Arabidopsis thaliana: one gene and its partners. The protein of the gene in region 1 interacts with the protein of each later gene in a pairwise test. Each region holds a gene or a part of one and is shown in the gene's direction. Other genes may lie near its edges. The genes, in order: TLP7, AT1G44830 and LBD38.

Region 1 (5,001 bases):
TGTTTTTCTACCAAGAAACCTAAACAAGCTTGGGTCTATATTGTGAGGGGAGATCTGTGCAAAAAGATTAAGATAGATGAAGTTGTATGTACGTTCCAATCCTGTGCCTATGTTCCCAGTTTGATCTCCATTCCTTGAGAGACTTTTGCTGAAGCTAGTGAACAAAGAAGAAGAAATTTTACAAGTTTGATTTTCAATTATGGATTTCTTGTTTTATTTATTTATTGGAGTTCGTTTTTATTCGTTACCAATCTTTCTCTTCACTTTATATAATGGTTTGTTTTCTAAGTCTCAACCATCTCTTACTCTGGTTTATATCATCATTTTCTTTCTCTCAAACTAAAACAACATCTAGAGAAATGGCTCCTTCCTTTTCATGAACATATAAATAGGTAAACTTCTCTTCGTTTTTCTTTTCTTGTATATTTTATTTTCTTACTCTTTTTTTTTTAGTTTCCTTCAAATTTTCAGGTCCAAGTTGCTTCATGCCCAGTTGGTTACTGCCATAGTGAGTGGTCTTGTTTTCAAGAAAATTACGAGAAGTAGGGATATGACATCAACGTGAACATACCAACTCTTGTTTCTCCATCCCCATGATCGAACCTGGAGAGGCCAAATGTGTGCCTAGTTATCTTTAGAGGCTTGTTTGTTTTTTTATCTAGTCTTGAAAGCTATTGAAATCACCATACCAATCTCAAGGTTTGTTTTCAAGAGTTGGGTTGATGAAATCAGTTTGTTGGTTGGAGGTCTTTCTTTAGTAGCTGTTGTGTCTATCACAAGTAATCAATTGCACTCAAAGTAGTTTTGCCAGCTTATGGTATAGTTTTGTCTAGGACAGTTAGGCTTGAGCGAGTTTATGTTTGATTTTATGTCAAATATTTGGAGAGGAAGAGAGATCTTAAAGTATTCGATCACTTGTCCATGACTTAAAATCTAGTCAATTAGCTTAGAGCTGACTAGCTCTAATTACTGCACGTAAAAGTGTTATTGATGCTTGGGATCGTGTCAACCACCATGCAAGAGAGTGGGATGCGAAGATAGTAGCTCAGGTGCCGGAAACTCATGATCAAAGCGGTGGTGTTACTAACGTTTATTTGGGCTAGTTATATTAATTATCTTATTGTTAGATATGACAGTTTATAGCATTAATAAACAATCTAAAAATCTATCTTTTTCTAAAACGTAAACAACAGACGTGGTACCATTACCAATATTGAATTTTATGAAGTACAAATGTTAAAATATATAAGTTGTACAAATGTTGGGTTGTGTTTTGTAATCCTTTTATTTTTTATTTTTTTGGTAGGATGTGTTTTGTAATCTTTTAGAACAAGTTGTAAACGTTTGTTTATTTGGTATAAAATCTTAACATTATAACCAAAAAAAAAAATCTCTAAGTTACAACTACACAAGCCCAAAAGGCAAAAAGTGATAAAAATAAATTACTAAATCCTAAACAAGTAATTTCATTTCAATAAAAATAAGGAATCTTCTAATATCACAAAATGAGTTATCATAAACCAAATCCATAATCTTAATTCTTAAAGATTGAACAAAATTCAGATTTAACAAATGTCGAAATGTTCGTCTATCAACCTCAGTTACACAAGTCATAAGATTTTTCTGTGTTACTTAAATTGAATGTGCTATGAAAAAATAACATCATGTATCCGGTTTAGTCGTCGTTTCCGGTTTAGATTTCTCACTTTTTCGACCACTTATAAAGTAGAGAGACGTGTCCCAAATAAAAAGATCTGTCACTTATTCGTATATCACAGCTGTGTCACTATTACCCAAAAATATCACTCCCTTCTAGATTTCGCACGTTGGTATTAATTATTATATAGATTTTTTTTTCCCAGAAACAAATCTCATCCCTTTCTCTCTCTTCCCCTCTTCTCTCTATTTCCAGATCGAAACATCTCTCTTCACAAAATGCCTTTGTCACGGTCCCTCCTTTCGCGGAGGATCTCGAACTCTTTTAGGTTTCATCAGGGAGAGACAACGACGGCACCGGAATCCGAATCGATTCCTCCGCCGTCGAATATGGCCGGTTCTTCGTCATGGTCGGCGATGCTCCCTGAATTATTAGGCGAGATCATTCGTCGCGTGGAGGAGACTGAGGACCGTTGGCCTCAACGTCGTGATGTAGTTACTTGCGCTTGCGTTTCTAAGAAATGGAGAGAAATCACTCACGATTTCGCTAGATCCTCTCTTAACTCTGGCAAAATTACTTTCCCTTCTTGCCTCAAATTGGTACGCCTTTTGTATTGATTTTACCATTTCATTGATTTTTGTTTCGTCAAATTAGGTTTCGTGTTCTCTGATTTAGGAATCGATTTAGGTGAATCTGTGAGTTTTGTTATCTCTTTCACATTATAGAGACACTGTTGAATTACCTAAATCAAGCTTCTTATAAGAATATTCTGTCAAGTTGATGGCGTTTGATCATGTCATTTGAAAGCTATTCACAGTTGTTTTGTTCGCTTAATGGTATTTGTTCTTGCTTTAGCTTAATATGCCTTTATAGATGCTATTGTGGCTTTGCTTTTGTTAAGAGCAATTGGAAAAAAAAATGGGATGAGAATTGAGATAGTTTAGTGTATTTTGAAATGCAGCCAGGTCCTAGAGACTTTTCTAATCAGTGCTTGATAAAGAGGAACAAGAAGACATCAACGTTTTACTTGTATCTTGCTCTAACACCATGTAAGTTATTTCAAAAGTATTACTTTTCCTTTTGCTTCATTCTTATTGTTGATTCAGTCAAAATTAGAAAAGTATATATGGCTTGAAATGAAAGTTTTAGATAGGCTTTTTAAGTGTGAAAACGATTGAATTAGTGACTTCCTAAGGTTGTCTCAGTCTTTTACCTAGTAATGCCTTGTCTTTGAAACAACTTACCAACCAATTGCCATTAATAAGTATTGACTTTTTTGTTGACCTTGGTTGATGATGAAGAAAATTCTGAGCTGCAGTCTAATATAGGAGTTGACCTGTGAAGTAGTTTGCTAGGCATTGTTAATCCTTTTATCTATATTCGGGTATCTTGACATCACTGAATGATATTTTGAGTTATATTTTCATTCCAAACTCAATGAAAATATCATTATATTAAATTTAAGAGCAAACTGCTTTGGAACAAGTTAAGTAAATTTTTCCTTTGCTGGCAAAAGGATCATTTTCAGGATTTATTAATTTAGTTTGTATTTTCTGTTCACCAGCATTCACTGATAAGGGAAAGTTTCTTCTGGCGGCGCGGAGGTTTAGGACCGGTGCTTACACTGAGTACATCATATCACTTGATGCTGATGATTTCTCTCAAGGAAGTAATGCCTACGTCGGAAAATTAAGGTATTGATATGTGCATTACTGAATATCCTAGGCGGCTAGGCGGCCATTTAATCTCTAAAGCAGGATTGCTATCTCAGAAGTTTTAAATTTGTTTTAAGGTTTGTTTTTTTTTGCTTAGAAGATGAGTGTGGCTTGAAAACTAAGGGTTCATGGTTTTTTTTTGGAAACTTCAACAGATCAGATTTTCTTGGGACCAACTTTACAGTATACGATAGCCAACCACCACACAACGGAGCAAAACCTTCAAATGGCAAAGCCAGTCGCAGATTTGCATCAAAGCAGATAAGCCCTCAAGTTCCAGCAGGCAACTTTGAAGTCGGTCATGTTTCTTATAAATTCAACCTTTTGAAATCAAGAGGTCCAAGAAGAATGGTAAGCACACTCCGATGCCCATCACCATCACCTTCATCATCATCCGCTGGACTCTCGTCTGACCAAAAGCCATGTGATGTAACCAAGATAATGAAAAAACCCAACAAGGATGGTTCCAGCTTGACAATACTAAAGAACAAAGCTCCTAGATGGCACGAGCACTTGCAGTGCTGGTGTCTGAACTTCCATGGACGAGTTACTGTTGCTTCGGTCAAGAACTTTCAGCTGGTTGCGACCGTTGACCAAAGTCAACCGAGCGGTAAAGGCGATGAAGAAACAGTTCTTCTACAGTTTGGTAAAGTGGGAGATGACACTTTCACTATGGATTATAGACAGCCTCTCTCTGCATTTCAGGCTTTTGCTATCTGTCTCACAAGTTTCGGCACTAAACTTGCCTGCGAGTGAAACCCAACAAAAGGCAACAGAAAAGAAAAAGTGAACTGGCTTTGCAAAAATGTAATGTTTTGATGTAATCATGTGTAAGTGTAAACACAAAGGTATGTGGAAAGGAGAAGCACATAAGTATTATTATGTAAGAAACATTATTTAAAACCCATAATCATAATGTATCTCTTAAGTATACCCATGTGGTTTTCTTTTATTTTTGAATAGAATTTGGGACTTCACATTCCTTCAAAGTAGGACTTCAATGGTTTTTTGGAAACATGACTTATTTGCAAAATATATACAAAAACAATGAATAGCAAGACTTTTTTCTTTTTGTCAGCAATGAATAGCAAGACTTAAGTAACATATTTTTAATTTTTGGCTTATACACAAGAAAAAAGTCGCATATTTTTGGTTTGGAACTTGAGCCGGTTCGATGTCTGACAAGTCGATTTGAAAAACTTCTTTATAATTTTTTACTTTTCGGTTTTATATTCTTTTGTATTTTACAACTGGATCTTGTTTATATATATCAATATATGTGAAATGAGCGTACTAGTACTATTATTGGTGTGGAATACTTTCGCATGCCCTAGTCTTAACTCTTAAGGATAAGTAAGGGCAGGTTTCTCTTTGTTTTCCAAATTTATCGTTCAATATTTCTTAAATTAGGATATAATGTACAATTAATCGTTCATTTCTTTTAATTAGAACCGTAGTTTGTACACATCACTACATAGCCACACTATAGTAATTAAGTGAAGCCTCATCAGAAAAGGAAAACGATCTATAGATGAAAAAGTTAAATACCCAAGAGAAGTGATTTTCAGTTAAAAGTATAGTTTTTGCTAAAAATATTTATAACGGCATTAATCACGATACTCGCGTAAG
Region 2 (3,178 bases), 3.0 Mb from region 1:
TATTGGTAAATAAAAATAAATGTAAAATAGTGAATTAGTTAAATGGTATGAAATGGAGATATCTTTCGGTGAATGAGAATGTTATAGTTGTTTTTAGAAAATAGCAAAGTCATATTGGTAAAATATTGAGAGAAAATGTAAAATGTTTTTTTTCCGTAAATGACTTTGAAAAGTATAATTTATTTGATAAGCTTGGATATACAAATATTTTAACCCGCTAAATAATATAGATATATCCAAAAACATAGATAACATGATTATATGACAAAAACATAAATATGTTTTATAAATTAGATGTCTACATAACGAAAATAATGTAGTAGAGGAAATGTGTTCTACAAGTTGTAGATATAAGAGCCAAAACATATAAAAACTTCATTTTGATAAATTAGATGTGCACATAGAATACTAATGTTAAAGAATTCGTCACGTAAGATTTAGTTATAACTATTATTTTTCTTAAAAGAAAGTAAAATAGTCAAAATTTGAATCATTCTCTTTAGATGGAATTAATTTGATTATTTATTCAAATACCACGTTTGTAATTACAGTCATTGAGTGCAAATATTAATATAAAAATGGTAGAACATTGTTGGTTTTGTTTTATCATAAACTTTTGTAAAATGTTGCCTGCATTTTCCAACGAACAATTCTGTTGATTCGTTTCTTGATATGAATAAAAAACCTTCATTATTGTTATATTATAGTACCCCAAAAGAGAAAAAAGAAATAGAGTCGTCTGGCTAGAACGTGAACACGAATAGATTAGTTTAGTAGTACTCTTACGCGTCTTAATTTAATTCTAGTGCCGACTAAATATAACCGCAGATTAGTTTAGTTAATAAACAGTGCAAGACTATTATGAGGTTTGACGATTTTACTTTAGTTTATTTAGTTAGTAGTACAATATTATTTAATATTACAATGCAGTTTGACAAAAGAATCTGAATTTAATTAATTTAGTAAAAGCCTTTTTACAGAGAGAATTTTACGTGTGACAAGGAGACACAAAGAGCTAGTTAACGCGGTTTTAAAAGTCCCATTAAGACAGAAGAGCACCAGCTCTTGTGCATTACCTTGGTAAACATGACTTCAGCTACTTTAACGTTTAAGATTCTGAATTATGTTTAGGCCTTTTAACCAAAAAAAAAAACTTGTAATTTTTGTATTATATATATATATATATATATATCTATAATCATGCATGTGATTTCATTTTGCATCTCATTTATCAAAATAATTCGATAGTTAAATTATTCTTATGATTAACTTTGTCTTTTGTTTGTACCTTAAAAAATCACATGCTCTTAGCTCCTAGAAGTTGCCTCTAAAAATAGAATCCAATGTTTCCTCTTATAATGTTTTATAACTTTCTGTCGTATCTTGATATTAATATTCTCATATGAGTACTGATTTTTGTTATTTACATTTTTATTCAAGATTCTGAGGCTCAAGAAGTAGTAACTTTTAGTTGTAAACAATAGTGTACTTTTGTGGAACTAAAGAATTAGCTTGGAGCCTTGGAGGTCAAATCAATAAATATGCATTTTTGAAAATAAAAAATAGGGATTCTCTTATTAGTGATCTGTGATTGGGTGTAGCATATGGGATTGTGATTAAGGAAAATCTTTTTTATAAATAAATTAAAAACACCTGTCTCTTACATTATTTAAAAGAAAAGTATTAATCTCTTTGTGTGTGCCCCATGCTACTTTCTTTGACTATGTTCATAGTATTTTTTTTTCTTTTGAGTTCTTTATGTTTCTCTTTCCATTTTTGTTCTCTATAAATAGAAACACACCATTCTTCTCCTCCAACTTCCTCCCTTAATTAGTATCAAAAATGGTGAAAACACTTCAAAAGACACCAAAGAGAATGTCATCTCCATCATCATCATCTTCATCATCCTCATCAACATCATCATCATCCATAAGGATGAAGAAGTACAAGGGAGTGAGAATGAGAAGTTGGGGTTCATGGGTTTCAGAGATCAGAGCTCCTAATCAAAAGACAAGGATCTGGCTTGGTTCTTACTCAACTGCTGAAGCCGCGGCTAGAGCCTACGACGCAGCACTCCTATGTCTTAAAGGATCCTCAGCTAATAATCTCAACTTCCCAGAGATCTCAACTTCTCTCTACCATATTATCAACAATGGTGATAACAACAATGACATGTCCCCTAAGTCTATACAAAGAGTAGCAGCTGCAGCTGCTGCTGCCAACACAGATCCTTCCTCATCATCAGTCTCTACTTCATCTCCATTGCTTTCCTCTCCATCTGAAGATCTCTATGATGTTGTCTCCATGTCACAGTATGACCAACAAGTCTCCTTGTCTGAATCATCATCATGGTACAACTGCTTTGATGGTGATGATCAGTTCATGTTCATTAATGGAGTCTCCGCGCCGTATTTGACAACATCACTTTCTGATGATTTCTTTGAGGAAGGAGATATCAGATTATGGAACTTCTGCTGATTCTACTTTCATTATACCTTATTCTTTGTTTCAATATATATACTTGAGTTATGTAACTTATACAATGTGTTATACATTTTTTTCTTCCCTTTTCTATCAATTCTCACAATGTATGGAACATTTGGGGATCTTTGTACCAATATCTAAATTATTTTTGAAATTAGATATTTTTCATGTTAAGAGTTCACTAAATCTAGTAGTAGTGGTTAAGTATGGAAATAGATTTATAGCTTTTGAACAAAGAACTTCGAATGATAACAAGTTAAAAGGTAAAAACGAAAAAGTACAGAATCATATTGTTGTTGATTAAATTCTGAAACCTAAAAGTTAAGAGTTAGTGTTGAAAACAATCATTTCAGATTTTATAGTATGAATGCAAAATTTGGCGTTACTGACTTTAACACTAACACTGTTTGATGTAAATGTGTACATGATACAAAATAAGTGGTGGTAAGATGACTATGCGATATAAGTACTGTATATATGATTTTTCTTTATTAAGGATATAAAAGTATTAGCTAATGAGTTAAACAGAAAGCAGATTTTTCATGTGAAAAGTTTTGCAAAGTCAAAGAGTAAGAAGCAAGTTTCATGAGGCTTGTCATAGAAGGCGATGATTAATCCTACTTAATTATTGTTGAATAGAGTAAGTGTATAAATATTATTTATTTAGAAGAAAGATAAGGAAAAAGAGAGAAGA
Region 3 (4,226 bases), on another chromosome or scaffold:
GAAATACAAGTCCACAAACCCACCTTATCTAACCATGTAATTAGGTTTTATAGCATAATATAATGAACATCAATGAATGTAAGTAGGAATGCAATTTGTGCAACCTCTATTTGACAATTTCTTTCATTTCTTCTCAATAGTTTACAAGTCTCATACATTGTTTTTGTTCTGTTTTCAAAGAAATAGTTTTGGTTTTTCTATTGTATGCAATATGACTTCCCACTGTACATCATAAACATTGAAGTATATATAATATTTTTTCTATTGTGTTCTGCCGTACGTCTAACTTATAATCTATTTTATAACATTGATTTTACTAAATATATAAAGGTAAAATCTATCTTGTTGCATTCACTTCAGAAAATAAATTTTTGGAAGAAGGGCCACAAAACAATACTAATTTTCAAAAATTGAGATTGAAATTATGTTATAAGATTGATATTTAAAATAGGAATACCGTTGTAAAAATAAGTAGTTGATTTATCGAACATCTAAGCATCTGTTTAACACCAATTTTATGTCGTTGTTGATCAAAACTGTCGCGTTCAAGTGTCTTGTGTCGACTAATTAAGCAAATGAACTTTAGGTACCAGAAGTTCAACGAAACAATAATGCATTTTTAAATTACTAATGGACTGAAGTAATTGGGAATAAAGAAATATAAAGAGACGGCGGCATTCAGTGGAAAATTTGCCTAATTGGAGTGTAGGTAAGCACACCACGTAAGCCATGAACGGCGCCGTTTCACCGCATTGCTATAGGAAAGTAGAAGAAGACACTTTGACTTATTAATATCATTTTGTTGTAGATCTTCTGTTCATCATATATTTGATTTTGTTACTAGCTAATGTAAAGGAGAAAAGAAATGTTTGATTTGGTCACACACGTGAGACAGCATCGTAGGCAAAAAAACGCCTCTATCTTTCTTCTAAAACATTTTTCATATTAAATTATCAAAACCCTTAAGGTTGATTTAAGGGTCAGGTAGTGGATTTGTTTCGTTGAAGGGTCAGCTTAGCCTTAACCCTAAACAAAACAATCTCATTGGTTTCATAAATAAATTGTTTACAAAGTATACGTACTGCATGAACGAATGAACCATATCTATATTTATAAAACTCATAGAGACCAATAGTTTAAGAGAGGCACTTATATAGCTCAACAAATAATAGCGAACTAGAGAGAATATGATCTAATTAGTTATAAATCTCAATTTTGAAATTGAAGTGCGTTATTTCATTTGAGAATCTATGTGTTTTTTTTGTTGTTGTTAGATGAGAAGCTAGGTTTTTTTCTTTTCTTTACACCGATAATCGATAATATATGTTAATCACACTGATTTTTGTTTGAGACATGAAGATTCGAAAAATTTGTCAACGAATAAACACTGGATAGATAGAATTGAGATCTGCCATCAAATAATCGAGATCGTTCATGCATGACGCAAACATTTATATAGAAATGAAGCAAGTAAAGAATATGAAAAAGAATAGAAATGAGAAATTTATAAAGAAAGAAAAAAAGAACCAATGGTTGAGGAGGCAACTATTCGCGGGGACACGGAGCCGTTCGCACCCATCACCTTGGAATCTCTCTTTCTTCCTCTCTCCTCATCACCAACTAGTCAACAACCACACACCATTTTTAACTTTCATAATTAAACCTAACATAACATTTTTTTTTGTATAAACTATAGCATAAATTAAATTCAGTTAATGATAAAATAAATATATTTTGTAGCAATCATTCTATTTTGTAATTTGGTAGGGCTCTTTAAACTTTGATTATTATCCAATTTTTATTAAAATATAATAAAATCTCAAAGCCATGACCCATTCCTTCACTCAAGTATCAATGTCTATTGTCTATAAATATTACATAACTCTTCTTCTTCAACCAAACATTGAAACACTTTGTCCCACTCTCTCTCTTTCTCTTTCTTGTACCAAAAGCTTTTTGAATCTCCAAGATTATAGCAAAACCAAAGATAAAATACTAACTTAAAAGATTTCTGAAAATAATGAGTTGCAATGGTTGTCGAGTTCTACGAAAAGGTTGCAGTGAGAATTGCATCCTCCGTCCATGTATTCAATGGATCGAATCACCTGAAGCTCAAGGCCACGCCACCGTCTTCGTCGCTAAGTTCTTCGGCCGTGCCGGTTTAATGTCTTTCATCTCCGCCGTACCGGAATCTCAATGCCCTGGTACTTAAAAACAAAAACCTCTCGGTCCTTTAGATCTTCGTCTAAACGTTGTCGTTTTGGTTTCTGATGGTAAGGGTATTTGGTCTTTTTACAGCTTTGTTTCAGTCTTTGCTATACGAAGCTTGTGGGAGAACTGTGAATCCGGTGAACGGAGCCGTCGGATTGTTGTGGACGGGGAATTGGAATGTTTGTCAAGCGGCGGTTGAGACGGTGCTTCGTGGTGGTTCTTTAAAACCAATACCGGAGCTTCTTAACGGCGGTGGATTCGCCGGGTTTCCGTCTCCTACTTCCGACGAAGCTTCGGAGATCTGTACGGAAATGTTGAATCTACGAAAAGCTGATGATTCCGGTGATCGGAACATTTATCATCACTGCCGATTCTCAAGCTCTAGATCTAGATCAAGATCAACAGCTTCTCCGCCGAAACGGAAACGATTATCGTCGGAACAACAACCTTCGTCGGAGCTTGATCTCTCTCTTATTCCTATTTATCCGATTAAAACCTTGCCGTTTAAGGAAGATACACCGTCGATGTACTCGGAGGAGTCTGTTACCACGGTTTCGTTTCAAAACAACAACGCCGGTGATCGGTACGTACGCTGCGGCGGAGGAGGAGGAGGAGCAACGACAAAGTTGCTCAATCTCTTCGCTTGAACGGCGTCGTTTTTGTTATGAGGGTTAAAAATGTAATTTCGAGTAACTTTTTGTTGTGGCCTTTTTTGGATTAATAGCCCTTAATATTTTGTGAAATGTAGCAAATTACGTGATTTATTTCTCTCTTTAATTATGAGAAATTATCCAAAGTAATAGAGAATAATGATATAATTCGTCGGTGGTGTACTATTTTATTTTTAGTTCATAATCAATTAATCATCATTCTCATCGAATTCAAATTAAAAGATAACAATGATAATGTGTACGATAAATCAATACTTATTAGCTACTAAATTATTTGTTTTTATCGACATATTCAACATTAATAATAATAATCACGAATCGGAGTCAAAATATACATCTCTCCAAATCCAAAGCACCGGCAAAGTCTTCGCACCCAACATATTTCGATTCTTTAAGGACCAACATGTTGTAATGTACACACAATCATACACAACTTGCTATTTTGATAATCATCTTGATTACTACTCGCAAAACAAAATATTAGCATTTATTATCTCCAGGTTTATTGTCTTTCGATACTACATTTGTTATTCAATGGTTTAATGATACCTAGTAATAGTATAACACAATAGTACGTATTCCTCGAGATGTGATGATCTTTTTGTGATATCTCAAATTATCCTATACTAGTACTGCAACGGTCTTCTTCGCAACACTCTCAATGGCATATGTACATCTTCATGTGTTTCTTTCTATGTTTAAGATTAGTCTACCACACATTCTCCGGATGAATACAAACTCTAAAAAAGATTAAACAAGGTGCATTACATAATATAAGTAATTGTATGTATAGAGTAGATATGCATTATATAATGCATGTAGTTGGGTTGAACCCAAAAAGTTGGGGTTATAAAGGGAAAGCTTTTGGGGGAGGCGGCTTTTGGACGACGCAAAGAGCCGTTTATGTCACACTTCATACCTTCGTGGAATCTTCAAAAGCACTCTTTTTTTATTGTTCTTCTATTCTTCTTCACATTTTGTTTAATAAAAACAACAAGGTATTGTTGCTCTATGGATGATGGCGTAGAAACAATGAAATTGACCAATAACATGTTTGCTTTTGAAACGTTGAAATGAGAATGGATTGTTGTTGGAACAGAAGAAGTGATTTGAAGATCTTATGAAGTGGGACATATTTTAAATATACTTTCGACCAGCCAGTCACTAGTGGGCAAACAATTGCTTGTGGTCCACGTCACTCTCCTTTCCTTTTCCGACCACCGGACTCTTTATGTTATTTTTGAAAAATATAAGTTTTTAGTTCTGACCATTTCAAGTTTTATCAACAACCGGGTATCATCATTCGTTCAATCTCGTCTGTTTTTTACATCTAATTAGTGTCTA

Evidence for each region.
Region 2: the proteins of TLP7 (region 1) and AT1G44830 interact in a two-hybrid assay, tested with the Arabidopsis thaliana proteins (one large-scale study listed by BioGRID).
Region 3: the proteins of TLP7 (region 1) and LBD38 interact in a two-hybrid assay, tested with the Arabidopsis thaliana proteins (one large-scale study listed by BioGRID).

Annotation. Positions count from the first base shown.
Region 1 is NC_003070.9:19,890,364-19,895,364, reverse strand, and holds TLP7 (tubby like protein 7), read left to right. Parts: upstream 1-1,860; 5' UTR 1,861-1,935; coding exon 1,936-2,256; intron 2,257-2,618; coding exon 2,619-2,706; intron 2,707-3,221; coding exon 3,222-3,351; intron 3,352-3,527; coding exon 3,528-4,128; 3' UTR 4,129-4,430; downstream 4,431-5,001. Other genes in the region: AT1G53325 (F-box associated ubiquitination effector family protein), read left to right, coding at 1-138.
Region 2 is NC_003070.9:16,931,950-16,935,127, forward strand, and holds AT1G44830 (Integrase-type DNA-binding superfamily protein), read left to right. Parts: upstream 1-1,749; 5' UTR 1,750-1,842; coding exon 1,843-2,478; 3' UTR 2,479-2,619; downstream 2,620-3,178.
Region 3 is NC_003074.8:18,512,445-18,516,670, forward strand, and holds LBD38 (LOB domain-containing protein 38), read left to right. Parts: upstream 1-1,821; 5' UTR 1,822-2,020; coding exon 2,021-2,204; intron 2,205-2,298; coding exon 2,299-2,858; 3' UTR 2,859-3,687; downstream 3,688-4,226.